Drosophila melanogaster: one gene and its partners. The protein of the gene in region 4 interacts with the protein of the main gene of each other region in a pairwise test. Each region holds a gene or a part of one and is shown on either strand. Other genes may lie near its edges.

Region 1 (6,898 bases), 280 kb from region 4:
TGCAAAGTTGATTTTGGCCATTGCGAATAGGCAAAAGCAAAAATCAAATATATCGCCATCTATCAGTTTAAATTGAAATTTTATGCACAAATTAAAGTTGTTCTGAATCTTGTTTCTCAAACACATCTTCCTCATTCAAATATACGTTTTTCCAAAATATACAAATGTGCTAGAGAATGTATTTCATGTATTAATTCATCTGTAGCGTTTAGATACTTCTCAAGTATATTTCTTAGGCTCAGTTCCACGAATATAGTGGCCAAGTAACGATTTGCTGATTTATTCGCTATATTTGCCGCACCTTCGTTGCTTTTCTTTGTTTCTACTTGGACACGCGCCAAAATACTTTGCTCAAGGCAGGCAAACCACACACACAAACACTATCTGTACGTCAGAGCAAGTCATCCATCCCAGATTCTACATCCCCAACATATATCCATTGTGTCTCCCAACTCGAGTTGGGTTCACTTTCGCCATTCTGGTTCGGCGCAAGAAAAACAAACATGGCTCAGTGCGTCCGTCCCAAAGAAATGATGAAAGCCGAAGAGCGAAGAATGCCGTAGAATGAACAATTCTTTGTTACTTGTCTTGTCTTCGAGTGAGTCGAGTGAGTCACCCTAACGTAAAGAAACGCATGAGTGCGAATTGCCGCGATTGTTTGCGGTTTTTTGATGAGTGTGCTAAAATAAAGCACTCACTTTTCTTTAAATGTACATGCATATATGTACTCACTTTTTGGGTCTAAAAATATTGTAAAAGAAATATACAAATTAAAAATACCTAATCATGTAAAATGAATTCGTTACCAAACTAGCACACAAATCAGCTAAAAAGCGACGCAGTATTGGCAAATGTTCAAAAAACGTAAGAATAAACTTCAATCGCATTTTTCCAACACACACATGTGTCAAAATGTACCGAAAATGCTGCCCAAAAATAGAACCCGCCAAGTATGGGAATAATTACATTTTTAAACAGACTTACGCCAAACACCAGAGATCGAAAAAGAGAGTGAAACGAAGCTAATACAAAGCAATTTATATGTGTACAAACAGACAAATGGAAATATTTGCCATATGCCAACAGAAGAACAATACTAATTGGGTTTGATGTGTGAGCGTGGAAATGAGCAGAGCAAAAACAGACATCAAACCGACGAAAATTCACACGCCTCCTCCACACAGCGAACCAAAACGAGAATCTTTTTGGGGATTGGGTAAATTTTTTGGAGGGGGTGGGGGGTAACGAATAGCAACGCACGTTGCAAAAATGCTTTCTGCTTTCTTTTTCAAAATCATTGCTGTTTGCACGAGTTCTTGTTTCGTTTTCTTCTCCCGTAGATGTGTAATTTGTTTCAGGTTTTAATTAGTGCCGAACTTTGGCAAGAGAATTTATGGGGGTGCGATTGGAATTGGGATTGGAATCACCTTCGGGTGATGGTGTTGTTTATTTACCTATGTAAATGCAAATGAATTATTTCGATTTGCTTTGCTTTCAGCTTATTATTGTTTTTATTAAGCGAGTGAAGAGCGCATCTCGGACTGGAAATCGAATTGAGAAACGCCGATGGCCTCGATAAACTCAGCGGAATTTCCCATTAACGGGAATCCACATCTTCTTTAATCCAACTAACGATTAACCACTCTTATGAGTAATAATAAAATGTCGCATTAGTCGGAATAAAAATTCATTTCAAGTAAAGATAATTAACTTGCTTTTAGATTTATTCCTAAAGCGGATCCTAATGATTTTTTCTATATCTAGTATATAATGGTGAAACTAAGCAGTAATACTAATTTCAGCACAAGAAAATCAAATTGTTTGTATTTTATGCAATACAAACAAATCTCTTAAGATTTGTTTAGTTCTGAAATGATGATTCATGTTTAAAATTTCTCGCACTTTCGAGAGCAAACCTACAATTATAAAAAGAAAAATAATATGAACGCAAATTTTACATTATTTATGCTTTCAATTATAAAACAATAAATATTAAAAAAAATCATATATAGTTGAAACATTCTAACGTGACTCTCCTAACAAAACATACTGTTGCAAAACCTGTTCTAAGCTAAACTACTTAAAAACCTTTTAAAACTTGTAGGCAATTAGCAAAAGTTGAACAGTCTGGGCAAAAATTAAACTTTTAAATAAATCGAAAGGCCAATAAATTATAAAACCCATGGCAAAAACTTATTTTTAATGGGAGAGAGGGAAATACAAACAAATAAAGCATAATTGGGAGGGGCAACAAGAACAACAACAATAAGAAACGGGCATTAGAAAGATGAGCACGAAGAAGAAGATGCGATTAGAAGGCACGGGAGCGCAAAGAATAGAAAAATTAAAAGTAATCTAAACAGCAACCTGTGCAGCGTGCCCGAGCGAGACAGCTGCTCAAACCGGTATCGCAACAACAATTGAACCGCAAAGAAAACGCGAAGAAGACACACACACGGACTATAAGAAAATAATGTTAGCCACTAAAACAAAAACAGAACGAAGCGAAAACACAAAGATAATGATTGACAAAGGCAACAATGTACAACTGCAAGCAGGACAGAGTGAGAAGGAGAGAGCGGTAAAAAAGAGACGAATCTGCGGCACAAAAGAGAAGACGAGAACATGCAACAAGCTGCAATTGCCCAAAATAACAACAACAAACCAGACCGCACGGCTATTTTTGTCATTAGATTAAATATTTCACATATTTTTGCACAGTTTCACCCACATGCGCCAAACCCAAATTATTTATAAACAATGTAAGTGCAAGCTCACCTGATAACTGCAAAATAGGCGCCTGTAACTTTTGATAATATGGAAAATCTCAATTTAAATTTGTTGTTGGCTGTTGCTTTGCTTGTTGTTGCTGCCGCTGCTGTTGTTGTTGTTGTTGAATTTCACGCGAAAGCAGGCAAGACAACAACATAAAATCACAAACACTTGCACGCACATACGTCACACACACCCGCACACACACTTGGACAGCTGAGACATAAACACACGGAGAGCAAATCGCAGCGAGAATGGGAGAGAGAAAGAGACAGAGAGCGATAACAAATTTGTTTTCTGGTTTTTCTTCACGATTTTATTACACGCTTTTCGAATGGCTAACCATATTTTGATTCACATTTAATTCGCTCCAATCACAGTGTGTTCCGTGCGCTTGCTAATTTTCGATTTTCCACCGCAGAACTCCGCCCGTTTTGCTGCTGTTTTGGCAATCGTCTCTCTCCTGGCTAAAAACATATGATTTCGGTTGACGGAATCACGATAAAAACACATAAATGCGAACAGGGCGCGCGCAACAACTTCCCACGACAAACTCTCGCTTCGGAATTTGGAACGAAACTGCCACTTTTGCAGCGAATCGCGCTTAAATACCCGTCTAAAGATGGGAACGCATGGCGAACCGGTTCGATAGTTCGTGAGCGAACAGCCTTCGCACAGTGGTATGCAATCAAACTGAGCAGTAGATTAAGTACTTTTGTTTAACAAACCGGATAGCTCGAACTTTGAAAATAAGTTTTGGATCGGCAGGAATTAAGACTGTGCACAATTAATGCTTTTAATGGTGACTCAACACTTTGTGACGTCAGTAGTAGCATAAGTTCAAAATAATTAATTTGAGTATAGCTTTTGTTTAATGTATTGTATAGAATAACTAGTAATACTGCTTTTTTGACTGCGATAAACATTTACGTAATAAAAACTGCATATATTTGCTTTGTGACAACCCTATTTTATTTTGCGTGCGTCACCTTACATTTTGCTACCTTGCTGCATCAGCTGTTTGTGTTGTGCGGCGAAGAATGGATTTGACGCTGGACAAAAAGCTGCAGGGATTCCAGTTGGTGGCACAAGAAAAGGTATAATAATGAATCGGAAGAGTGAAACTATTAACTACCTGCAATTCGACTGCAGCTTTGTTCCATACTATGTAGCATACCTGGAAAGAAGGAGTTAATTTTGGAGCCCGACTTGATAAAGCCACTGGAACATGTTGTCACTGCCTCCTGGCTGAAGTAGGTGTTTAATCCATATTTTATGGATATTTACGTCTTATATATACCCCTTAACAGGTTGAAGGGCATACAACGGATCTACAAACATGATGCGGCACAATCTTTGCCCCGATCCGCCGATCAGGTGCACATCTACATGATCCGCAGTGTTTTGGGTACATTTCAGACACTTCTCAAGCAATTGCAACCCGTGGCCTCAGAGGAAATGCCCGACATCTCCATGAAAATGTATCACATAGTCTGTGTGCCCAGTTGTTACTCCTATTTTCAAACCCTGCTGGAACAGGCTGGTTTGTACGGACTGGTGCAACTTCATCACTTTAACTGGGACTTCATCTATTTTGATCAGGGAGTTCTCAGCTTGGAGCTGCCCAATGTGAGTAGATGTACATTGAACATTCAGAAAAGAGTCTTTTATACTGGATATTCTTATTATTCAGCTTTACGAGTGTCTCTACCTGCAGAAGAACACATCTCCATTGCCTGCGGTGGCCCAGAGCCTGCGATTGCTTCAGATGATTTGCGGACAACCGTCTTTGATTCTGAGCTTTGGCCACCACTCGTCGCAGCTAATGCAAATGGCGAAGACTCTTGGCAAACTTCCGGCGCCCACAAATCCTCCAGACTATGGCGGCTGGCTGGTCATCGATCGGGATAAGGATTACCCCGCCAGCTTGCTCACTCCGGCCATCTATGCAGGTCTTCTCTTGGAAGTTTTCGAGCATAGTTCTGGCGAGATTCTGGTAGACAATTCCAAGAACAAGATCCGCAGCCAGCGTGTGGAGTTACTCCAGGGAAAGAAATCCAAGATAGGCGTAAACTCAGCCAGCAAGCCGTGTTCCATTCGTCTTAACTCCACATCCGATGAGATCTACGGCGATAATCGGTACAAACGATTTGCTCAGGTCAGCAGTTTGATTCACGCACAAGTAAAAGCCCTGGGCTTGGAACTGCAGAAACTCAATGACATGCAGCTGGACGAGATGCATGACTATGTGGCCAGGAAGCTACCCAAACTAACCGAGCTTAAGAGCAAAGTCCTTAGGCATCTGAATGCCAGCGAGATTGTGATCCAAATGATGGGTAACTTCAGGAAGCTCCAAACGCTGGAGGAGGACATACTAAACAATGATTCAAGAAAGCGATTGCTAAGCGAGATCGACGAGCTGTTGACCACAGATGGTCAGAGATTTAATACACTGCGACTGCTGTGCCTCTTGCATCATTGCGTTGGCGTGGCGCCCGAGGAGCTGCAGATATTTGCGCGGAACTACTGCAATCTGTTTGGACACCAGGAATTGGGCGTGTTCCAGCAGTTGTCGCAGGCGGGCTTGTTGCCACCACTTGTGGTGGAGAAAAAGGCGCCAACGAAACTGCTCTCAAATCTACCTCTGCCCAAGTTCCAGCAAACGGAGTTTCAGGCCAATGCTAATCGGCTAAAGCTGTTGACCTCCAGTGGAGATGGTCAGGATGGAGGTTCCTCCTCCAAGAGCCAATCCAGTGGCTTGCAGACCTGTCCCAGTTTTGTGTTCAATGGCACCTACATACCATTGGTGGCTCAGCTCTGCTCCATTTTGCTGAAAATCAATAGTGCTGAGGAGTTGTCCTCGAAGCTGGGCATGATTGAGGGGCTGCATCTACACCTGGACAGCGGAAAAATCACGCCCAAGGCCTATGCCAGCCAAGTGAAGCTAAACGGAGTTGCAGATCAGGATATGTTCCCCTTGCGTCTCAGGAATCTCTTTGTATTCATTGTGGGTGGTGCCAGTTATGCGGAAATCGCCGCCTGCGATTTTGTGGCAAAGCTAACAGGCGCCCAAATAACCGTGGCATCCGACTCTCTAATGGCGGGCAGTGATTTGATCGCCACCGCCTTCAACCGCTGACCATGAAGTAACTAAGAATCTGTGTATCAAATGTTTTATATATTTTTATACAAAACAATGATGACAAAGCTTGTGATTAACAATTTTCGAAATTTACAATTTAAACAATGCTCTTTTCGAATAAATATTACCTAAAAGTGGCATTTGCTATTTATCACCACTGGCTCTGGTCATTCCAGGCACTCGGTAGAGCAGCTCTCCATCGTCATCGTAATAGGCATCCTCCACCCGGTAAGTGGCTCCTTGGCGATGCAGTTTCCGGGGAATAACAATGCGTGTTTTCACCTGGGTTATTTCATACTTGCGCTGATCCGCGGCACTGATCACAATCTCGCTGCTCGCAAACTTGGGCACGAAACTGGGCAGGAATCCGGTGCCACTGGGATTCTCGATGGGCCGCTTCATTTCCTCTGGAACTGCGGGCGCAGACTCAACGAGCTGCAATTCCTTAAGCTCCTGCAGCCGCATCTTCTTTTTATTACGGATTTTGTCCAACAAATAGGTTTCATCTTCGGCAGCAGAGGGTGGAGCTTCATAGCCGGATGGGATTTGTGGTGTAGGCATCTCCTCTGTTGTTTTACTACTGCTGCCCAGCAGTTTGCGGAATTCGTTGCCTTGCGGAGTCGGTAGTTGTGATTTTGTGGGCCAATCCTGGATTTTAAGCTCCCGCAGATCCTGCCACCTTCGCTCGGCGAATTTCTGCAGATGCTGGAGAAGAGACGGTGGGATACTGAAGTCACCCTTTCCCGTCCCTAAAAGCTGCCAGTTTTTAATGACGGTTTCATCGTGGGAGCGTATCCTTTGCACACTTCTCGGTCGCCACTTGGCCCGCAGAATTTTCTGCACAATGTCCGGAGTGGCGGGAAAACTTTCGGCCAATCGCTCAACGCTCCATTCCTCGGGATCTCGCTCGTGCAGCAGGCGCATCTGCTCCTTTTCGGCATGAAGCAAGAGATTGGGCAACTTGGCGTCTCGGAAATACTTGTG
Region 2 (8,747 bases), on a different chromosome or scaffold from region 4:
GCACGTCTACTATTTTGAGCCCCGAAGGAGAGCTCTGTTTACGGAAATCCAGGCAATCCGTCCGCAACGCGTGGCGTGCTCGGTTCGTTTGACTGGCTGCGGACTGCGCTGCATCAAGGACACCTACCCCCCACAATCCCCTTGCCTGCCGCTCACTGCCTGCCTGGCTGTCTTTTCGTTTTGGCAGCAACTTGTACTCATTAAAGTTTTCCTATTGTTGCTGCATGGCAGGCAACGTTACCAATACTGTACACGCATCCCCACGACGCAGCCCACGGGGCCCAAGGAGTTGCTGCTCCCAACTCCCGGGGGTGTCGATGGCAGTGGTGTGACCCACAATCACAGTTTCACCAACGTCAGAGGCGCCTGTCGGGCGAATTTCCCCAGCAGGTGCTGTGGGCTGTCCGCGATGTATGCGATTGGCTCAAGAGAAAGTAAAAGGACGTCAGCCAGTGATGAGACGGATCACTGGTTATATTCAAGATTGGAATTGGTTGAAGTATAACCAAGTGTACCGAAGGCGAAAGTCATCGATTGGTTGGAACTGGAACTTATCTCGCCTATTTTAAGGCTAACTACTACATTGTAAACAATAGGAGCTTACTATACCTTCGCATCACTGCTTCCAGCACCCAAGGGCTGGCTCCATTCATGTCGTTGGCGTAATTTAGTACAAGCCCAAAACCCAAATCCCTGAAGTAAACAGCAATATCCGAAAATAAACCCATTCGAGCGATTGCCTTTGCGTGTCCAAACAATCGCAGCCACAAAATTATCTAGAGGCAGAGGAGCAGGTGGCCACCACATCCGGCACTTGGCCGCCGCGATTCTCAACATTTGCTTCGGGTTGTGCAACTCTCTCGATTCGTCGTAAATTTTAGCCTAATCGAATCTAATTGAATACATAAATACGGAAATAAATCAATTTAATTACAATACAGCCAACAACAGTCATCGCAAATAGTTTACACGCACACAAGCACTCGAACCATTATTATTACAGATATAAATTTGTTTAAGCCTTGGTAAGGTATTGAGAAAACCTCAAGAGTTGCGGGTTCATATGCTAATTAAATTAATTGTCGGCACAAGTAGGACCACTTAAGGTTCTTTAGCTATACATATTTTTGGAAGTTCTATTATCATATCTTAACTGAGCTTTAAAAAATCGCTGGTAAACATGATTGTACAAGAAGTTGAAATTCCTGGAAATGGTTTGGTAATTGCATACATATGTACGTACATATATGTACATAGCTTACAATTTAAACGATAGAAAAGTACAAAGTACAGCACTGCAAATATCATGATCGGCAACATATCAGAAAACCGTTAGAGGTGATGGTTCTCTTTCGTTATCTAAGTTCCCCTCCTCTCGCGCTGTCTTCATCTTGTACTTTCGCGCTTGCCGCTTTGGCTTAGCGCTCTGTCCTTTTCGCTCTGCAATTGAGTCGCTCATTGTCATGCGCGCATCGACGCCGAACTTTGCTAAAAAAAAAAAAATATACCATGATCGTTCGAAATCGTTACCAGAAAAAACGTCTTTTAATTTTGCAAAAATAAGTTAATAAAAGGGCCCAACAGCCCACTTTTCAATCGCCATCGGAAATAGAGCAGTTGGGAATAAAATCTGCGTGAGACTTATCTATGTGGTTGCCCAGTCACCAGAGCGAATACCCCTAAGTAACTAAATACATACATATCTATCTACAGATCAGTCGTGTTGGTCGGTGAGGTGATTGCGAGCTTACAGCGCTTCCGGATAAAAGTCCCGATAGGCGAATCCCTCAATGTACTCCGGCCGGTGGCAGGCGAACAGATGGTGGGGTAACTCCTTGCGGGCGTACTTCTCCAGTGCCTTGCGCGTATTTTCCTGGAGCACGGCCTCGTCAAATTTGACCCGCTGCACCGTGGTCTTCCGAAGGATGGTCTGCACCAACTGCGACCACACGCAGCCGGACTCCTCTTCACCCAATCCGGAGCCGTTTTCGGCAAGCTTTCCTTTTTGAATTTGTGTCGACTGCTTCTCTTCCTGGCTCGGCTCCGGCTGCTGTGCAGGCGCCGCCATCTGGGCTTTGGTTTGAGTGTAGACTGTGGACGCATCTGCGGCCTGAGAGTCGGTAGTGGCCTCTTTCCTTTTGGGTGGCGGAATGTCCTGCATGAGCGTCTGCAATCGATCAACTGTCTCCGCCATTCGTTTCCGAAAGTCCACTATTCGACGGGCGTAGCTGAAGAGGGCTCGCTCCTCCGCCAACTTTAATGGCCTTTTACGTGCTTCCTCACTTAGTTCTCCGTCTTCCAAAAGTGGGTGAATGCGAACACCGGCCTCCGAAGTGCCACTGAGGTAGATTCGGATAGCAAATTCCTGCATGGCCGAAGTATTGACCATGGCTATGGCATAGGCATTACGTGCTTTTAGAATAACTTCTCTTATATGAGCCAACTGGGGCGAGGAGGTATTGGACACTCTTGTTTCGAGATCTTGTAGATCCATATGCTCCAAGTGAGCCGACTTATCCAGGCTGTCCAACACCTCTGTCAAATGGCTAGGTATCCGGTCACCGTCCGCCGGAAAGGTTAGCAAACCTAATCCTTGAATCACTCGGATGTTGGCCACATATTGCTGCTGCAGTTCGTACAGCTGCCAAAGGGTCCTCATTCGAGACTCATACTCTTTCTGGGCGCCTGTGCCCAATACACTACTCATATTAGTATCGTACAGTTGCAAGCCCCGTATAAAGGCTACATCCATGGTATAGTTGCCCATGAAGGTCTTTACATAGTTAAGAGCCTCGGAGGCGCTTGCGAAACTCTCCCGTCGCTGAGCAAAGAATTCATCCAAATCGCTGACTGTCAACTGGTTTCGTGCCACCACGTTTCTGTGCAGGCTCTCGTTTAGCTCCCGCTCCTCGCGTATCTGCTCGAAGTTGCTTACTAACAGATCGCCGGCGGGCTGTTGAAATTCGTCGAACACCTCAATATCTACGGCCATGGTAGTGCTTGTGCCGGATTGCTCGCGTTCCTGCTCTTTTTCAGAGTCCTGCGCCTGCACACTCTCATCCTCTTTATTAAAGAACTCGTTGTTCTCTGGGTGACACTGCGGCACCCACTGTTCCTGAACAGCTACCTGCCGCTTTTTGCTCCTCTCTAATATCGCCCGTGGACTAAACCGCTGTAGATCCAGAGAGGTGTAGATGTCCTCGTTGTGGGCGTGGCAACAGTGGAGGGCTGACATGTCCATGGGATGAGCCTCTGTGTTGAAGATGTACGCACCGGCCTGTACCACGCATACATCATCCTCGGTTGACAGCAGCTCGCCTCCGGACCCATCGTTGTGCAGGAAGTTTTCCTCGTCAAACAGCAGATAAAGGTACTTGCTTGTTTCCGCCAGGAAGAATGACTCCATGCGATTCTCCTTTTCGTGGGTGACAACATTGCGAATCTGGAAAATAATGCAAGTATATATTAATTAATTTTAAGTTCTTAAAAAGCTTGTTCACAGAACTTCTCACCGTTGCATATCCGCATTTGGTTTTGGCACTGAACTCCAAGGTCTCCAGCATGTGCTCACCAAACTCCAGAAGATACTCGTTTCCTGTGGCTCGATAGAGATACATAGCTGACTCGATTAGCTCCGGTCGCAGGGGGTACACCTCCCGATTCGGCGATGCCTCTCCAGCAGCAATGTTATAAAACTCTGGCAGAAAGCCGTACTTCTTCCAGACCCCAATGTACCGTGATATGGTGCGCAAGGCCGGCTCCGTGTCGCCAATAATGCTCAGGATGCCGGGCCAAAACGCCTCCAGGGACTGAAAGACGGGAAGGGTGACGCGGCCTTTGTTCATGCCTACCCACACGTACCAGTCCTCCTTCCGCATGTACTTATCAATGGCCGCGCGAGCCTCATGGAATAACTCCAAGAGTTCTGGGCGATTGAGCAGGACAGATGCCTTAACTAGGTATTCAAAAAGGGAATCCACTCCTGCTCCGATACCAGAGTCGAGGGCGGTCCAACGACCGCTCTGCACGTCGATGTGATTGCCAAAAAGTCCAATGGGCGAGCGATATGCCCATAGAGCATGTACCGCCTTCATAGCAACATCCTCGTAGATGGTTTTCCCGGTCAACCGGCTAAGGGTACCAAATTCGATGAGGAATGTCCCCACGCCCGCCGTACAGGTTATAGAGGTCTCGCCCTTGGGCACGCCATAGCGCAGGTTCACCGTGCCATAAGGCATACCCGTGTTCGTGACGAAGGCTGGCAATAATCGTCGGGCCACATCCTCCGCCAGTCGCAGCAGAGGTCCCTTGCAGGGCCATCCTGGCTCTAGCTCTACGCCAGCACGCTTGGAGAGCAGATGCGCGGACAGCAGCCCGCCCACGATGCGGATGTTTGTCTCGAACACGGACACGTTGATGTCCCTGTCAAAATCCATCTTCTCCTCGAGCAGTCTTGCCGCGCGGCGGAATTCCGTGAAGTTGCCCATGGTGGCCAGCGTGTCCAGAGCGTCGATCAGTGTCAAGGAGTAGCTGCCCCAGGTGTCGTGGCCATCGCAGGTCAGCGGACGCAGTTCATCGTAGTTGGAGGCGTGGCGCAGGTAACCATCGTAGGCGTGCTGGAACATGCGCCGCACATCCTCCCTGCAGATTCATTGCCGGTTAGGATTAGTATGTCCGAGTTTAGCCCTAGCAATGACCCACCTCAGTTCCAACTTTCTTGCCTTGGAATACTGCTTCTGGCCGCTGACACCGGTGGACAGCAGGACGAGGAGGACCGCGCAGATGAGGGTGCCCGGATAGCCGTTGTTTCGGGGTTTTTGCTGCATCGTGGGACAGTCAATCAATCAGGGCCGCTAATTCAATTATGGGCATGGTCAGTGTTCCATAGCCAGCGTGGATGTGGGATGTGTGGAAGTCAAATGCGGCTACGTTGACGCAAAATCACAACAAGGGCTGATTCGGCGGTGGCATCGACCGCCGAATGCCCTACTAATTCCGTTCGGTGAGTGTTTTTTTATAGAGCGCTTAGAGTAGCAAACGGGGGAAAGAACACAAGCCAAAGAGCTTTTTTAAGGTAACAACCAAACACTATAGGCTAGCAAACACTGTATTCTCCGCCAATTCTGAAGTACGTTAATTTTACCCAACAAAATCCCTAGCAATAGGATATGTCATTCCGTAGGGTGCAATCAGCTGTTGCTGATCGAATAACTATCGAAAGGGTGGTCAGATCGAATTTGCATGGTGGTCATTGCTTGTTAAAGGAATACAACAGCTCAGAATAGCCGTAAAATCAGCGCGGCAATATTAAAGTCGGGTTGGAAAAATTAAATGGCAATTTCTTTAAGAATTCAAAAAGTTTGTGATGACAAATATACCGATTGTTTGTCACTGCTTTGCGCGGCACACGTTCCTTTATACTTTTATTCGCGTCGAGTTGGCAGCACATACCAGTTTTTTTTGTGGCCATTCAAAAGTGTGTGTTCGTACGGGTAAAAAGTGATTTAAATTCAAAATATTCAGCGAAACGACCGCCTCCAATAGAAGCAACTGTACCCTATGGTAAGTAACTGCCCTCTGCACCCGTTTCACACCCGGACATCCTCCGGATGAGCTGACCAAGAAATCCGCAGCCTTTGTTACGCTTCCGACTGCGAATTGCAGTTCTGGCGATGGGCAGCGATGTGTTTCGGTTTTGAATCATTCTCCGCGTAAAAAAAACTCAGAAAGAGGGTCGACTATAACCTCGCGGAGTAACTGCATCACGGCCCGTGTGCCTTTTGTACTCCGCGTAAGGCGATCGTTTAAATGCAATCGCGTATGCTTAATTGTCCGTTGGGCGAAAAGTAACAACATTGTGGGTCTATACATGCGGGATTGCCTCTGGCTGACCAGAAACCACATTGAAACCATCCCGTTGACCGTAGATATAAGCGTGTGCCATTTGGGATCTGGAAATCGTGTTTCCACCCAGTTGTTTGCATATTTATAAACAATTAAAGAAAAATATTAAATTTTTTGGTCAGGGCTGTCGCCCCTCGCATGGCATCGATAGAAGAGCGTCCGGAGCTGCGGTTGCAACCCTATCCGCTCACGCAAATCTATCGAAAAATTTTACTCCACGGTCGATTTTCGTTGCTTTTTTTTCACACTCGTGTAAAAAAAAAGGAAATAGCTAAGTAAATCGAAAGTACAGTGCAGTGTTTTGATCCCGTGGAGTGCATGTTCCAGCGGAAAGTGTGTGCAACAAATATGAGCAGTTCGCAAAAGTGGCGAGCAAAAGCAATAACAAAGTAGCAACAGCAACGCAACGTGTGTGTGTTGTAAGCAATCTGTACAGCGGAAAGGTGTTGGTGTGTTGGTGTGCTCGGGGGGTGGTGTGCGTTTCGCCCGTCCCGTGTCCATAAATTAGAATCAAATCGAATCGAAATCGACATTGAAGTCCGCTGCTCCGCCACCGCGATGTCCGTCGACCAGGATCAATAAGCAGCGTCACCACCAGTAGCGGACCATCATTAAGTTCTCCATATCGAGAGCAGGCTGACTCGGAATCGAACTCGGATTCGGAATTGGAATTGGAATTGGCATCGGAATCGGAATCCATAGCGGAGGAATCACGCGCGGCAGCCAGCCCAATACGGAAAACTGCTGAAAAATGTTAGATAAATGCCCAGTTATCTACAATTATTATGGCTTGTCCCTGTGTGCGTGTCCAGGTGTGAGGGTGTGTGTGTTTGTGTGCGATAGCAGAAGCAAAATCCGCTCAAATTGCGATGCCAAATAGTCGGCCAATTAATTGATCTTTCAATTGGCGACATCAGGCGCCCTCCCATATACCCAGCTCCGCACGAAACCCGATATATATCCGCGGATTGAGTCTCTGCTTTTGCCGCACATATGTATTGTATAACCCTTGTTTATCTTTGGACAATCCGAGGTGGAGTGGAGTACAGTGGAGGCTGGCCAAGTTGGACACATGTGCCGATAAGGTGGCGTGTGCTGGAACGAGTGTCCCCTGTAATGCGGTCTTATCTGAAGAGCTTTGCAGGTCACTCCGACTGACAAATTCACCTGCAAGCTAGGAGGGGAAAGCCCTGTGAAGAACTCTCTAACACGATAAAGTCATATTCCTGATTGATACAACTATAACACACAGAAATCACTATCAGACCAGAGAACCAGCTCGCAAGACCCAAGACTGTAGCTATACCAAATAATCTATCCATAAAAATAGGAAGTTCTTATCTTATCACATACTCTAGGTAAAGATTTAAGATGGATCTCTATAAATACTTTTGAATTTACAACCCAATTTGTTATGCTTCTCCTGTAAGTGGCCCAAAAATCGTCAGTTAAGCATATGAAAAGTCTCGACAATGTGGCTGCACTTTGTTCCTTTAATTGTTCTTATATTGTTTACAAATTGCATAAGCTGTAAATGTAAACTTTGCTTAGTTCGATTTCGCTTATTCCCGAAGTCTGTTTAAACATTCAACAGGAAATGAGAAACTGAGCTTGTTTATAAAACGTTAGGCAACATTACCCCTTTTGCCATTCATCTTTTCCATTAAGAACGCCATATAAATTCAGTTTTCAATTTACATCGTACAGCTGTGGGTTGTAGAGCACTATTAGCTGCTAGGAAAGCAGGTTGAATAAAATGATGATGAGAAATCACAGAATTCGAAGGACCTTGGGTGAGTCACTGACTAGCAGCTTTCACTGCACCATCCACGCACTCAAAGCCGACCACAACTGGAGTTCATACACACACAGGGGCCACCATAAATAATTCGCATCCACTAGGTGGAAGTGAGCAAATGTTTACTCAATAACTATTCTTGCAGAGCCCGCAGTCGCAGCAAAGCAACGATTACCAGCGACACGAGCAGGGAGCAGAAGGAAGCCGGCGGAGGAGGAGAAGAAGGAGAGCCACCGCACAGATTGGGTAAAGCGCACCACCATGGTGAGTACCAATCTGGTGGTACCCGTGGTGCTGTGGGGTCCCACCGCGCCCACGCACTGCATCTCTAGCGTGTTCCTCTCGGACGATCAGTTTACCCTGGTCACCGGCTGCTACGATGGACAGATCTGCCTTTGGCAAGTGGAGCCCACCACCCTGAAGATGTCGCCGCGGTGCCTCTTGGTGGGCCATTCGGCGCCCGTTTTGTGCTTAGTGCGTGCCTCGCTTCTGCCGGAGAACAACTTCCTGGTCAGCTCGTCTGAGAACGGAGAGATGTGCACCTGGGATCTTACGGACGGCAAGTGCATGGAGGCGGTCAAGCTTCCACAGGTGCACACCCAAATTCAGAGCTACCACACCGCCAACAGCGAGGATGTGCGCCTCTTTTGCATTGGCTACTATGCTGAAATCATGGTCATGGATCCGTTCAGCCTAGAGGTGATCTACGTGCTCAGCTCAAAGGTCAAACCGGATTGGATATCCGCTATTCACGTACTGCGCCCCATGCGTCGCAAGGATGACGTAGTGTTGGCCATCACCACCACCGGAACCGTGAAGGTCTGGACTCTGACGGGTAACGAGAACAAACACGCGGAGCCCATTTACGAGAACGAATCCAAGGAGATCCGCTGCCTGAATGCCATCACCATGAATTGCTGCGCCCAGAACCAGCGCACAGTGCTCTTAGTTTGTACCAAATACTGGCAGATCTACGATGCCGGCGACTTCACTGTACTCTGCTCCGTAATTGCTCCCGCAAGGGAACGTTGGCAGGGCGGCGACT
Region 3 (7,044 bases), 5.6 Mb from region 4:
CTAGTTGCTGCTGCCACGTTTATTTTATTTGTAGCATTTTGCTTTGCTGAGTGTGAAATTTTAATAGCCAAGCGAGCCGTGTCCGCGTTCGTGTCCCTGTCCTTTTTTCCCTGCATCTGCACAAATGTACATATTGTACATATGTACATATATAGTAGGTCTATCTGGAGGGTAGGGAAACATATGTGTCCCGGGGCGAACTATTTCTGCGATTTACCTTGAAAAAATATGCAGAAACGCGTGTGATGTCGTGGTGTGGGCGTTCTACGCTCTGAAATTGGAGTTGCAATGCGTTGGCGAGCCGAAAGCAATTAGAGAAATATGCCGCAGAGGTGTTCAAAGCAGGGGAAATCGTGAAGGAAATATGCCCGGCCATCCATGAGATACTTTGGCATCTTGTTCCTCAAAGGGAGCGAAATAGTTACTTTAATTAGTTTGAATAATATTCGAAAAATCTTAATAACGCACAAACTAAATTCGCCATTTTAAAGAGATCTCTGAAATACTTTAACGATTACATTTGTCAGAATAGCAATAGTTATGAGTTATTTAAAAATTGGCATATTAATTTACATATATATAAATACCAAACTGAATACCAAAAACCGAAGCTTCAGCCAGTTGAAACGTACTTCATTAATTCAGCAAGTACAACCAAAGTTGGGCTTAACTTGGCTAATTGATATTCACTTGGTCCTCTCGACTCGTGTATAAATTGTACGCGCTCGAAAAAAAAACAACTCCGAAATAAAGCCCATCGAGTGCAATTGAAACTTTTTCAGTTGGCGCTACCACAATAGAGCTGTTGACTATTTTTGTTTATTTAAAACTTTTAACAATTATTGTGCAATTGTGCGAAATTTATTGCAATTGAACGCCAATCAGAAGGGAAGTGCCCTTCTGAACCCTCTCCACTCGCCAATTTCATGGCTTTCCCTGGGTTTTCCACTCCGGTTTTTCTCAATGCCAGCACCCGTTAACCAAAATCGTTTACATGTTAAATTGTGCCTGCTCACTCCTTTTTTTTTAGAGCCTCCTCTTTGGCGCTGCAATTTTGCCTGCCCTTTGGCAACACCTTTTTTAAGGGGGTGTTGCAAGGGTTGGGTGGCAGGGGGCACCCTTTTGTTTGCGCCGATTTTTTGGCACTTTTTTTTCGGGGGATAGCACGGGTAGCAATTGTTGTCTCGTGGAGAGCGGCGGGCATTAAATAAATAAGAAAAAATATATTCGCAAGGAGGCGGGCTGCATTCCGTGCAATTTTCACTTTACAACTGTTTCAAAGTTATCTTTGTTTCAATTGTGTGCACGACGGCGGCAAAAAGCGAGCAGCAAAAAATATTGGCAAACAATTTACTTTTTGGCCAAAATGCGAAATAAAAGTAAAATGTGGCAAATAATTTGCCCAAAGCTGCGGCAGGTTGAACACGGAATAAAGGGAATCTGCAGCAGGATATCAAAGAGGACTTTCCCCTCATTGATTTATTGTCCTTTTGTGCTGGTTGCAAATGGGGAGCTTCCTTTTTTTTTTTTGCTCTGTAGCCTGGCTCAATTGCAATTTAAAGACACAGTCTGTTTATTTTGGGCAAAGTCGGGCCGAAGTCTCCAACTCCACTTGAGATAGGCATCGGCAAAATTAATCATCTTTGCATGCCAGTTGCCAGATAGTTTGTGGGGCCAAGTTTGTTTAATTTCGATTACCAGCTGACGGGGCAGAGTCCTGTGCCCGGTGAAAGATGCAGGATGAGCCGGCCAGGAGTTATAAATGGCAGCACCGACAGCACCAGCATATAAAACTGACATCCACTGACAGCAGCCAAAATGATTAATTAGACAGGAGGCAATCTTGTTGCTGGTGGAACACACACACTAGGTAGGTATTCCCAATCGAAGATGCAAATGTCAGATAAATGTTTAATTTCTGCTCAGGGCTTCGATGGGCGAAAATGGGAATGGAAATTGGCGCTGATTTATACATAGAGTATATTTAGAGTATATTTAGCTAAGGGGCGTAGTCGAAGGTGATAACAGGCGACAGGTTTTCGCCAGGGCGAAATCTTTGATTTACGGCATTTTGGAGCCGTTTCGAAATGCGACACAACACACGCCGAGCAGCCGGAAAATTAGTACAACTTGACTAGCTGGCTGGCTGACTAGCTGGCTGGCTGGCTGGCGTTTTCCCCCGGCTTTTCCAAAAGCCCAGCGAACAGCATTTCGTATGTAGCCGGCGATTAATATCCATCGCAGTCGCAGCTGCCCAGCGCCATCAAGCAGCTCGGTTTGCCCAGGGAAGAGACGGAAAACAAGCGGAAAGTATATGGATCGAAGATATGTGGGCCAACCTGTGCGCAGCCATCTCTGATCGATTAGCCAAACTATCGTGTTCGAGGGCTTTTAGTTCCGCCCACAGAGAACGGAGCTGCTTAAATAGCCATAAATTATAATTTATGGCAGCGGTGTTGCCACCGTTTCAACCGTTTCCACCGAACATGTGCAATTAATCCGTCTCTTTAGCTGGCTTATCAATTGTCAGAGTCGGAGGAGTGGAGCACCGAACGAATCGTGGGCGTTTCCCCAGCATTGCGCCATCCCCAATGCTCCCCAACTAAGCGTTTTCAATTAATTTCGGCTCTTTCTCACACCTTCCATTTCAACCGATGAGCTCTGCCCACTGACAGTTTTATGCTTTGTTTACACTCGATAAACAGAGTGGCAAGCGACCAGCAATATGGCCATAAAACAGGTTCTTAAATGGAGGTGCGGCATCGCGGTAATGGTGTTGGCCAAGTTAGCTACCTGTCGTCTGCTGTTTCAGCCTGCGCATGCGGTTTTCCTGGTCAGGGGTAGCTCTACCTGGTTCTCGGTGGGTGGAGATTACTGGCAAGGCGGCGGTGCTGTTTCGGCGGTGCCAACAAATCAAATTGAGATGTGGCTGCAATTGGTCGGCCACTGGGAGGAACAGAGAGGTGGCTATGCTATGCAATGCAGGGAATAATGCCATTATTCAAGATCGACTGGCCGACTTTCATGTGTGAAGAGCGTGATATGACCAATAGATATAAGAAATCGAATGATCTGCCATGTTAAACCGTACTAATTTTAACTATATTGTAGTTTTAGCTCATGGAAAAGGACTTTCGTAGCTGAAAACCAGCGAATGATTATAGTTGAACAACAATAAGTTCTTTAAGTTCTCAAAGCGTATAGAAGTTGCACAAAGTGACCCAGTTTTCTCTCAGTGTGCTGATCGGGCAAACTTTTTCGGTTTCGGGCTCGCTCTCTCCTTTTTGAGAACCGGAGCCCGTTCTCTGCGTAGGAGTAGGTAATGGTAATTCGAGACCTGCCTCGATCCTTACTCGCCGTTTATGAGTTTGTTTTTCTATAGCTACTCATTCTTATGATCCCCTGAAGGTGGAGACCACACATATACCCAAGATGGCGGATGGTTTCTGGGAAACTGCTAAGCTTGCATGTGGGGATCTTCAAATCGAAGCTACCGAGTCTTGGCGCGCGAATCACTTGAACACAAAGTTCTATGGCACGGCTGATTGGTGATAATGGAGGCGGTTTGCGGATGAATCACCCGAGATCTGTGCTCCAGATCCGCGTTCTGATCACTTACACTGCATGGCGAAGGGGGAGGTGGAGGGCATGCTCTGCTGAATGATGGTATCCTCTTGGCCGAAACGTGAAGACGACGGCGCCAGACAGGACAACATTTGGAATGCTTGTTGCAACACTTGCTCTACTTTGATGCGGATAGTTTGTTTGGCTAGTTGGCTAGTTGGCTAGTGGGTTCTTCTGGGCTCGGCGTTATTTCTTTCTTATAGAGCACACACGTGTTGTGGCGGCCATTTGGGCAAGGGCCTTGGGTTTTTTATCTTTCGAACATGGGAAACACTGGGATTTTTCTTCGCGATGCGCCGCTGCGAGTGTCGCGTTTGTTTTTATTTTGTGGGCGATTTCACTGATCTGCGTTCTATATCTGCGTGATTCTACTGTGTGCTGCTCAGAGTTTTCTCTGTGGGTGAGCGACGCGTGTGCTGCCGTCGCGACGTCTACGATGCAACTGAATTCAGAGTTCTAAGTTTCGAAGCATCAAGCCAAATCCGAGAACGAAACAGAGACCGACGTCCTCTACCGAATCCGTCGGATGCGAACTGTGAGTTTCGGGCGAGGGCGATACGGCGGGGTTCTACGTTTCCACGGAGAGCGAGTGAGAGAGGGCGGCGCTGTTTGTGTGTGTGCTCCGTGCCACCACCAGCATAATATAACGGTGTAACGGTTCACCGTTCCGATGTACGAGGTGATTCGGGCGGGGGTAGTGTGGTTGGTGCTCTAATGCTCTGATGGGTGGTGTGTTGGTGGTGGTGCCAGAGAAGCGAGAGCGCTTCATTCTTAACATAACAGCTCTCTGTTATCGCATATCGTAAATGTTAAGCGCTGTTAGTGCCGCTCCTCTCGGTTATCCCGTGACGTAAGCACTACGTAAGGGTGGCCTCTTTTGTTCATCGTGCTGCTCGTAAACATATGGCCGTTATGCGGGATTTGACTATATTAACATTTGCACAAAATTTCGTTTTTATTGATAAAGCGACTTATGAGTCTTTCCATTAACTTTTCCGCCAACCGTCAAATTTATTTCGGTGTTATTTTATTAATACTCTGTGCTGCTGGGTATCAATATTAAAGTGTAGAGCTTAAGTGATTTACATATTTAATTGTTATAATTAGGAAATATTTTTAATAAACAGTTTAATACTCAACAATAAATAGGAATTATCTGAAATTCCCAGAATTGAACAGCAATAAGATAGTTTAATTATATACTTGTATTATAATTTTTTAAGTCTTTCCGGTAAATCAAGTTTATGACAAAATATTCCCCGTGTGGGAATTACACACATATGTATGCATATCGCTATGATTAATTCCCCACTCAAGAAAGCTTTCGATCGTTTTTCTTTCGGGTAAATTTGGCGGTGCGAGATAAAGGGGATTTCTTTTTTCCAGGGAATCCCTTAACCCTTTCCTGGCCACATCGCTGCGTTAACGGACAAAATCATTTGCACTTGCGATTGCAAAATTTCCTCTGCTGCGATTTCCGAGTAAGAAATACCGAAATCGTTCCGCGATTGCCACACATTAATGACATCGTTTGCTGATGGGCGAGTTCTTGAGAATGTCCATCAATGGACACGTCTACAAAATGACAGAAGAACAGAGATCCAAGAGATCCCGGACAACCGAAGAATTCTAACGAAGAGAGCAGAATGCGAGTGGCTTGATTCTTTGGCTCCATCAACAAGTTTTGGCGGCCCCTTGGGATGTTGCTTTTTTTGTACTTTATATTTTGCTGCTCAAAGAAACATATAGATTTGAAAACTAAAAGTATAAATGGATAAAAAGATATTTATGGTAACAGAAATTGTGTTATCGAAAAAAAAAGCGAAACATGCTCTCTTTGATAAAAAGCAAAAACAAAAGGCGGACTCGACAACATAATAAACAATTTGTACATTAATTTTTAATGCGGTTAACATGTGTTCCCCCTTCTCCCTCACACACCCATACACTCACAAACGCGGTCGCTACGTGTGTGTAAGTGTAAAATAGGTGGAGCTTCATAATTTTCTCACTTGAAACGTACTGCCATGAGCGGGAAAGAGAGCGCCGGCGGTGCAAGCGAGAGAGAGGGAGAGAGAGATAGCCGCCGGAGAGGCCGCTTTTTTTTTGTTGCCTCGCATTCATTTTGTATGTTAATTAGTTGCCGTTCACTCGCGTGCGCGTGTGTTGAGTATCTGTGTGAGGTGGCGTGGGTGTTTAATGAGAAGCGAGCAAGGTGCGCACATTGGTCGTCCATCGGTTGCACCTGTTGCGCTCGTTCGATTGGCGGAAAAGCCCCAGGGAAAATTGGAGGCTGATGAAGTGGGAAAATGACTCAATAAGATATATGCGAGAATGAATCAGAATAGATATTTATGTCTGGACTTGAAAATAATTCATCTCTTGCAATGAGCTCGTACCTCCCCGAGTTTTGTAGATCTTAATCCGCCTTCATAAGTATATATTTTTAATCAGGATCAGGACGATTGCTGTTTCCCAGCACTTCCTGTTCCTGTTCCCCCAGGAGTTGCCCTCATTAACCACTTAATTGACACACATCCGAATCGAAATGCATCCGAGTTCAATGGCGAGTACCTTCAATTACCACGTCCCGCATTCGCACTCAAGGATTTTCTTCCCAGGCTCTCGAAGGCAACACCCACTGTAGGTTCTTTATTTAAATTGGATTTGTCGATCATTTTCCGATTGCTACTAGCTTGGGCTTCCACGACTTTGGAAATTCTCACCCACCGCTGCTGGTACCCACATAAAATAGAGTTAGCTAAGTACTTTCGATGGTTCCGCATTGACGTCATCGACGGAGGAATCAATTAATTTCACTTTACAATCGTCGGATCGACGAGAAGATGAAGCAAAGGACTCTGGGAAAAGGCAATCCTTTTCGGGGTGTTTGCTGTAAATCTCAGATCTCCAGATGGGTCATCGCATTCCCACACTCCTTGGGATTGAATTGCATGCATGTTTCTCGTTTTTCCACAATTTTTAATTAGCAGTAAACTTTGCGCGGCCCCGAAAAACAAAAGAACCCGAAACCAATTCAATTCGAAACCGAACCGAAAAGTAATGACAGCGTAAATACTTTTCAGAATGTGGTGGTTCTATATGGCATAGAAAGTGGTGTGGTGTGGTGGTGGTGGTGGTGGTGCTGCTGGTGCTGGCCTCGGTGGTGCAGAGTGATGCACATTTTTGGGGTCGCCACAAACATCGGACTCTCGGCATCGGAATCGAAATCTCAAGTGTCCTCTGTTCTGCGGCCGCCTTTGCCTCATTTCGTTTAACACTTTATGTGACATTTAAGTGGCGGCGGGGAAATGTCAAATTTCCTCATCGTCCCCAAAATGCATGTACAGCGGTCTGAGCCCCATTTTCCCCCTTCTATTTTTCAAGGGTTAGAACTTGATTGGGGCGGTGGTTTTAGTC
Region 4 (6,908 bases):
CACTCTCGCAAACTCGCACACAGTGTCGAACTAACGATTACACACACACAAACACTGTCGAGTCCTTTTTGCAAATTTGGCATCCTTCGTGAGCCGAGCGAAAAAGCGGCAAGGGGCGTGACGCAGCTCATTTGCCTGCAAGAGCGTAGAGAGAGATTTTGTCATCCTGACTGTAGCCGTAGCTGTATAGCTATGTACGTATATATGTAGATACGATGGAACCATCTACACGTATACGCAATATAGCGCATACGCCCGGCTGTGCGGTTTATTTACACCGCGAGTTGTCTGTAAAATTTTAAAGCGCGCGGCGATTTTATTGGAGCACCGTGCGAACATGCGAAACACCAGCCGCCACCCCTTGAACATCCTGACACATCCTGGTACATTGTGGCACATCCTGACACCCCATGACAGACCGCCCCCCACCCCCTTCTTCCGACCGTTTTTGAGCCCCAACCCCCTTCCCCTGCAAAGTACATGGACGCGCGCACACGGCATTCGCCATTCAGACGAGTACATATATATCGCTATGTGCTACACCGCTGGCGAATGGGAACGCATCGGTCCGCCGTGCGATATGCGATATGCCAAGTGTGTCACGGTAATTAATTAAGAACCGCTTGTTCTTCTTTCTTGCAGACGCCAAGCTGTTCGACAACGGCCTAAAGTTGGATATTTCCAGCTACCCCCACATGAACATCCGCATGGGCACAAAGGGCAAGCGTCCCCTGCGGAGCCTGACGCCCCGCGACAAGATCCATGCCATCCAGAGGATCCACGATGGCGAGTCCAAGGCCTCGGTGGCCAGGGACATCGGCGTGCCCGAGTCCACGCTGCGCGGCTGGTGCAAGAACGAGGACAAGCTCCGCTTCATGTCCCGCCAGTCTGCCACGGATAACCTCTGCGCCGACGCCCTGGGCGATAAGATGGATGGAGGAGGAGGAGGAGGTGGTGGAGCAGGCGGCGGAGGTCTTCTGGGACCGCCGGAGAAACGCCAGCGTTTGGACGGCGCCCTGCCCCTGAACTTCTCCAACAAACTGAAGTTCGATGAGCTGGCCTTCAAGCGATCCCCTCTGAATGGCCTGGACTACAGTACAAACAAGAATCTGGCCGATCTTGGGTACAATGGGCTGCCCGTAGACTATGCGGCCTTTAATGGCGGGGTCAAGGCCAAAGTGTTTGGTGCCGATATCAACAGACCCGCCGCCGATCCCTCCCTAAATGCAATTAGTCCGCTCTCTAGCTTGACGCACCTTTCGGGTCTCACGGGCATATCACAATCCCCGCTGGCGATCAGTTTCAACGAGCTGACCACAAACCTCAACTTGCTGGCCCAGCTGAATCCCGGTCTGGCGGCCATGTCGGGTCTAAACAGTTTCCCAGCGGGCGCTGGTAACCTGAGGACCCCGAAGCCCAGTGGCCAAACGCCGCTGCAGGTGCAGAGCCCCAGGAGCGATAGTGGAGATCGATCGGCGCAGGGATTGTCGGTAAAGAACTGGGCCAAACAGAAGCCGGGGGAGGGCCAGGGCAGCCTCAATCTGAGCATCAAGAACGAGGGCAAGGGAGGCGATATCAAGAGTCCCAGTCCTTCGATTGCTCCTTCGCAAATGGGCGGGCCCATGACGCTCTCCAATCTGGCCGAAGATCCCTTGCTCTACTGGCTCAAGTCGCAGCAGACCATGTTGGGTCTGAATCCCCTTTATCCGCCCACAATTCCCATGGGCGTGACCAGTCCCCCTATCAGATCTTCCACGCCGCAGCACATGAGTCAGTTGGCACAGACTCCGCCGATACCCTCGGCTCCGCTAACACCCTCGTCCACACCGTCGGGCAGTCTGGACGAGAAGAACGCGGCGTGGTACAACTGGTGCAAGGCGTTCGGTGCCAGTCTGCATACCCTGAATCCCAATGCCGCCACCTTGGCCGCCCTGCAAGCCAACCAACTGCAGCAGCAGGTGGCCACCACGGCCGCAGAGGGGGGATCCATGGGAGATCCCTCGAACATACTGTACTCCCATCTCACGAAAGAGACTGAGACGCCGTCGGTGAGAAGTTTGTCCTCCAACGAACAGAATCCCGAGGCTGACGAGGCCACCGAAACCGATCTCGATGGCGAAGTGGAGCCGGAGGCATCCGGGAAACCGGAGGATCTCTCAGCCGCCGGCAAAGTGATGACCCCTTCGCAAAGTCCCATTGCCCATTCATCAGGCAGCAGGAGTCCCGAACCAAAGGCGAAGACCAAAACCCCAGAGACCACGAATTCCACAAGCGAATGCAAGAAGATCCTAGACAATATGCTCTTCAAGATGGGCGGAATGGAGGCCACTGGTCCGTTGATGCCGGAACAGGGATCCTCCGAATCGGAGGGCAGCTTCCAGGACACCAGCAATCCGCATACGAACAACAACGATGTGAGCGCCAGCAATAACAATAACAATAATAACTCAAACAAAACGGACGAGGAGGAGAAGGCCAAGTATCTGGACTGCACGGCGGACGAGGATATCGAGGCCATCCGCCATGGCGAAAAGTTCCTGCAGTGGCTGGAGAATTGCAGCAATCCCCGCGTGACGGCCGTGCAGCTGATGCAACTTCGTTTCCTAATAGCCGCCATCAAGTCGGGCAACGAGACACCGATGATCGAGAAATCCGCTTTGCCGGAGGACAGCGAGGAGCACGCCGCGGAGGAGGAGGGCAGTGGGCGGGGCAAGAGTCGCCGTCGCAAATAGGAAAAGCCAAAGTTGGCGCCCACGGAGCCAGCCACGGATACAGAGATAGAGGATAGCCCAGACGGTGCTCTGCACGATGCAGAGCCAGGACCCGGTGTCCTGGCTACAGATGCAAATGCAGATACCGCCGAGGGCTCGACGAGGTGCCATGTCTATGCGCCGGCCGTCTACCGATCGTCGGCCACCCTACTCAGCTCCCTGTTCTTCCCTCCCTACGAATTTGTACATTGTGACCTCGACGATGACCCCGACGACTGCCAGATCACGGGCGAGTACCAGCAGTACGACGAACTGAGCTCCAGCAGTTAGACCACATGGTTCCACGCATCCGGAGGACTCCACTGAATTTATCTCCTAGCTGTGAAACCTATCGAGCATACTTTCAGTATCTTTCAATTCAATTCGAATCCACTCCATTGCATTGCATTGCATTGTATTAATTAATTAATCGTACGGTTAACGTGTATATATCGAGAAACTCTATTTGTAGCTATTATGCATTTCTTTTTGAACGGAAAGACAACCGACTCTGTTTTGTTAGTTTGTTTTTTCACCCAATGATGCATTCTAGAAAAATGTTATAGCCCTTAGTTTTTGTTACGAAAAAGAAAAAATACTTTTCGAACTGCAAGGTGTGTTGGCGCGAATGGCATGCATTTGATATCAAACGTTTTTAAATTTCGTATATTAATAACTATGGAAATGTGCTCAAAAGAATTTTCTTAATTCGGAATTAATGCGATATTTAAATAAAAACATTTACAAATTTAAATGTAATTTTAAATACATGTTCAATAAAAAATAATTAGATAATTTTTATGAAACTCTTAGAACTGTCGTCGTATTTACTTACCGCTGTCGTATTGGAGGGTCTAAGTGGTTTTTCATATATATCTACTAAAATACCTAAATGTTTTACTTTTATATTTACAAGTATAAATTGCCTTGGTCAAGTTATTGAACATTTTAGAACGCATAAACTTTTAAATATATTGCTACATGAGCTCGGAACATAAGAATAATGGATATGTGATTGGTTCAACTTTGCCATAATAGACTTACCAAATTTATGGGATCCTGCAGTGGCTCATACTGAATGAAATCGGCGACAAACTTGGCAATTTCCTCGACACTTGATATGAGTTGCGTGTAAATAAACGCCGTTGGCCTGATGGTGGTGCAAACGAATTTCTGTAAGTTGGTTAAGAGTGGCAATTTATCAAAACGCTGGCCACTAAAGGAGCAGATGGTGCTGACTTCACCTGTACTTTGCATTCGTTGGGCAGGGCCAAGACCATGGCTCGTCTCTTTGGGTAGCTGAGAACCAATTGCTTCCGGAAATTCTCAGCGTACAGCAGGAGCAACCGCTCCTTGGGCGAGAGGGTATAGTACGATGGAGGATAGCACTGGGGACTGTTTTCGAACTCCTCGACTGTTTCGGGAAAGGATAAATCGATCTTTCCGATATTGAGCGATGGTTCTCCTTCGGATAAACTAAATTCACTAGATCCCATTTCCTCCATTTCCGCCTCGAACTCGCCCTCCATTTCATCTGCAAAATCCGATTCCGAACCTTGCGAGCGCCTCTGCTCGTCGATTTCCTTGAACTTGGCGCTATAGCGACTCGGGTCGATGTTGCTCACCACCTTCTTGTACTTCTGAAACAGTACTTTCGGCATTTTGGCGTGGTTACAATTGCCGGCTCTTTAAAATAATAAACAAGAAACTTCGTTTCTATAACTACGGTGTTTGTAGAAAAATATATATTTTAACGGCTAGATGTGACAGAAATTGAAATATGTATTGTGTTGTGCTAGTCTGTTCATTGTAGCAAATAAAATATATAAAAATTGTAATTTGCTTAAAAAACTTTCGTAATTCTAATTAGTTTTGTGTGGGTTTCGCTTGAAATAACTTCTTATAAGAACGAACATTTCCTTCTTCCGGTTGAAAACTTTACTTTACATTACTTTACTTCCTGATTCTGGTTTGCGTCTGGGCTAAATAACCGTTGTACTGGTTTGTAACTGCTTTGGCATTAGATTTGAACTTCTTTACCCTGCTTCGTATATCAATTTCTACTGCTTTTTTCTCGGTTAAGTGTCTACATGTAAAATTGAAGTAGGGTAACAATTTTACCCAAAAGTCTTTTTGTAACGAACATTTTTAAAATAGAGCAAGCAGGTTGTGAATAGCATATGGCCATCACCTTTTAGCAAAAGAATAGTAGTAAGCTTCATGTCATGAAGAGAATAACTTTAAAATTGACATTAGTATTTTTAAAATAGTAGGTAAGCCCTTGAACGATTGATTACCTACTGCTTTTTAGCCTTGAATATTAAGGCATAGCTATATTTTAAGAAAATAAAAAACTATTTAATTTCCATTCATTTCGCTAGTCATTTTCAATTAGCTATTTTTTCAATAGCTATTTTCTATAAAATTTGATGGAATGTATCAAAGTTATATTTGTATTATAGCACAGAAGGCACAAAACTTCCCTACTTATAAATATTTGGTAAATTGTATGACAAGTCACATATTTTAAATGTGAAAAATTGATATAATATATAGAACTACTTCTTCACCTTGTGCATTTTTTGTTGATTTAATTTAAATAAAGCTAATTCCACATTCAACCTAATCTTTTCCCTGGTTACCTACATACATACATATGTATATTTCGACTAACTTTATTTATTGTCATTATGCATATTACATAATTACCCGTCGAAAACTCAATGCTGGTCTTCCGCAGCTGCAGTGGCAGCGACAGTGGCAATGGCTTACTTAGATGGCACATTTTTTAGGGACCACCCCCTTGTCTGCATGCACCACAAATTGCATTTGCATTATTTATATTGCATCAATAAAACCCGCATTCAGGAATAATTAGCGAGCGCAGAACTTGTCGATGAGCAGGAGCGGAGACCAGCGGATTGAGATCGGCGCAGTTGATCCGTTTATGGCTGGCGCTAGGATTTATTTGTACTTCCTTTCGCATTTGAAAGGCGAGCGTCTACCTGGTGAGCCTGGTGAGAGCGGTACATTCATGAAACCATTTGGCGCTTTTAAGCGACTCAATTACGCACTTTGATTCCCACATTGGCCGCTAGTAGTCGCCTGTCGTTGGGTGTCGCCTTGCTCTGCCTCGTCCAGCTTGGTCCTGTGGCAAGGACTGAGGACTGGACGCGGTCTACCTGGCCGCCGTCTGAGGCAAGATGCGTAAGCACTAATTTTTGTGTGCGCTCAGTTTGCCGTTTAATTGCCGCGGCTCGCGCTAAGTGTTCCCTAGAAAAACAAAGGCAGGCGCTGCGCGTCGGAGGTTCAATCAAGCACATGTCGTCCTGGGCTGACTCCTTGGCCAAAAGTGGTCCTTGCGCAGGCGCCCCGGATGTCTCGAGTGTCAAGCGCCTTTGCAGCCATTGTCTGATTATCGCAGCCACGCAACGCTGATGTGCGGTTATGTCAATTAACGCGGATGCGGATCAGTCCGAAAGGATCGAGGTATATAAGGGTAGCTACGCAGGAGCACAGGACATCACATTCGCCACAACCACCGAACGAAGCACATCGATCTGAAGATGCAGTTGGGAAAAGCTATCATTCTGATTTTGCTGGCGGCCATCCAGCAAAGCTGCCTGGCTCTCTACATCAAGAGCGCGGAGAAGAATCCAGCCAAGACTGGGCCCAAGGACGATTGGGGCGTCTTCAAGAACACACTCGGACTAAGCCAAGAAAAAGGTGGGTTGCGACTTAGATTAAAGCTCATTTTGAACTCTTCACTAACTTTGTCATTATTTCCTCTTCAGTTGAACTGCTAAAATCGCAAAAGGACCAACAAGGCACTAAGGAGCTGCTCAATCGATTCATTCTGGAGAACCCAAAGGCACTGCCGAAGGCCAAGCCACAACCCGATCAGTTCATGGGACTCTACAGATCCATCCTGAAGAAGCTGACGGCATCCAAGCGCATGCTGAAGACCTCGTTGAACTTTGAACTGGCCGACAGGCCACACAAGACCCTAAAAAGGCCGCGCCGTAAGATCGCCGTCAAGATGGTTTCCGATATGCCATCATGGAAGATCGAGAGCCTGCTGAACTCATTCTATCTGAAGCACGGAATTCCACGCAACGCCGAGGAGCACGATTATCCCGATCTTGACATGGCCAGGGA

The links.
Region 1: the proteins of lobo (region 4) and Vps33B interact in a two-hybrid assay, tested with the Drosophila melanogaster proteins (one large-scale study listed by BioGRID).
Region 2: the proteins of lobo (region 4) and Edem1 interact in a two-hybrid assay, tested with the Drosophila melanogaster proteins (one large-scale study listed by BioGRID).
Region 3: the proteins of lobo (region 4) and zfh1 interact in a two-hybrid assay, tested with the Drosophila melanogaster proteins (one large-scale study listed by BioGRID).

The regions. Positions count from the first base shown.
Region 1 is NT_033777.3:25,469,704-25,476,601, forward strand, and holds Vps33B (vacuolar protein sorting 33B), read left to right. Parts: upstream 1-3,786; 5' UTR 3,787-3,812; coding exon 3,813-3,869; intron 3,870-3,924; coding exon 3,925-4,025; intron 4,026-4,082; coding exon 4,083-4,401; intron 4,402-4,465; coding exon 4,466-5,911; 3' UTR 5,912-6,053; downstream 6,054-6,898. Other genes in the region: CG4553 (uncharacterized protein), read right to left, coding at 6,059-6,898.
Region 2 is NC_004354.4:1,902,794-1,911,540, forward strand, and holds Edem1 (ER degradation enhancer, mannosidase alpha-like 1), read right to left. Parts: upstream 5,187-8,747; 5' UTR 4,827-5,186; coding exon 4,702-4,826; intron 4,642-4,701; coding exon 3,513-4,641; intron 3,443-3,512; coding exon 1,752-3,442; coding exon of another isoform or gene 1,748-1,751; exon of another isoform or gene 1,529-1,747; intron 1,489-1,528; coding exon 1,419-1,488; 3' UTR 911-1,418; downstream 1-910. Other genes in the region: mip130 (Myb-interacting protein 130), read left to right, coding at 5,560-5,562; Rbcn-3B (Rabconnectin-3B), read left to right, coding at 7,964-8,747.
Region 3 is NT_033777.3:30,762,956-30,769,999, reverse strand, and holds the start of zfh1 (Zn finger homeodomain 1), read right to left. Parts: upstream 4,075-7,044; 5' UTR 3,717-4,074; coding exon 3,620-3,716; intron 1-3,619. UniProt on the Drosophila melanogaster protein: Involved in the development of the embryonic central nervous system, embryonic mesoderm and adult musculature.
Region 4 is NT_033777.3:25,189,244-25,196,151, forward strand, and holds the start of lobo (lost boys), read right to left. Parts: upstream 4,534-6,908; 5' UTR 4,412-4,533; coding exon 3,995-4,411; intron 3,924-3,994; coding exon 3,795-3,923; intron 3,564-3,794; exon of another isoform or gene 3,042-3,563; coding exon of another isoform or gene 696-3,041; exon of another isoform or gene 643-695; intron 1-642. Other genes in the region: dan (distal antenna), read left to right, coding at 696-2,732; CG13653 (uncharacterized protein), read left to right, coding at 6,317-6,476, 6,545-6,908. UniProt on the Drosophila melanogaster protein: Key component of the nexin-dynein regulatory complex (N-DRC), essential for N-DRC integrity. Involved in the regulation of flagellar motility. Involved in sperm motility. Required for the sperm to enter in the coiled storage seminal receptacle (SR) tubule.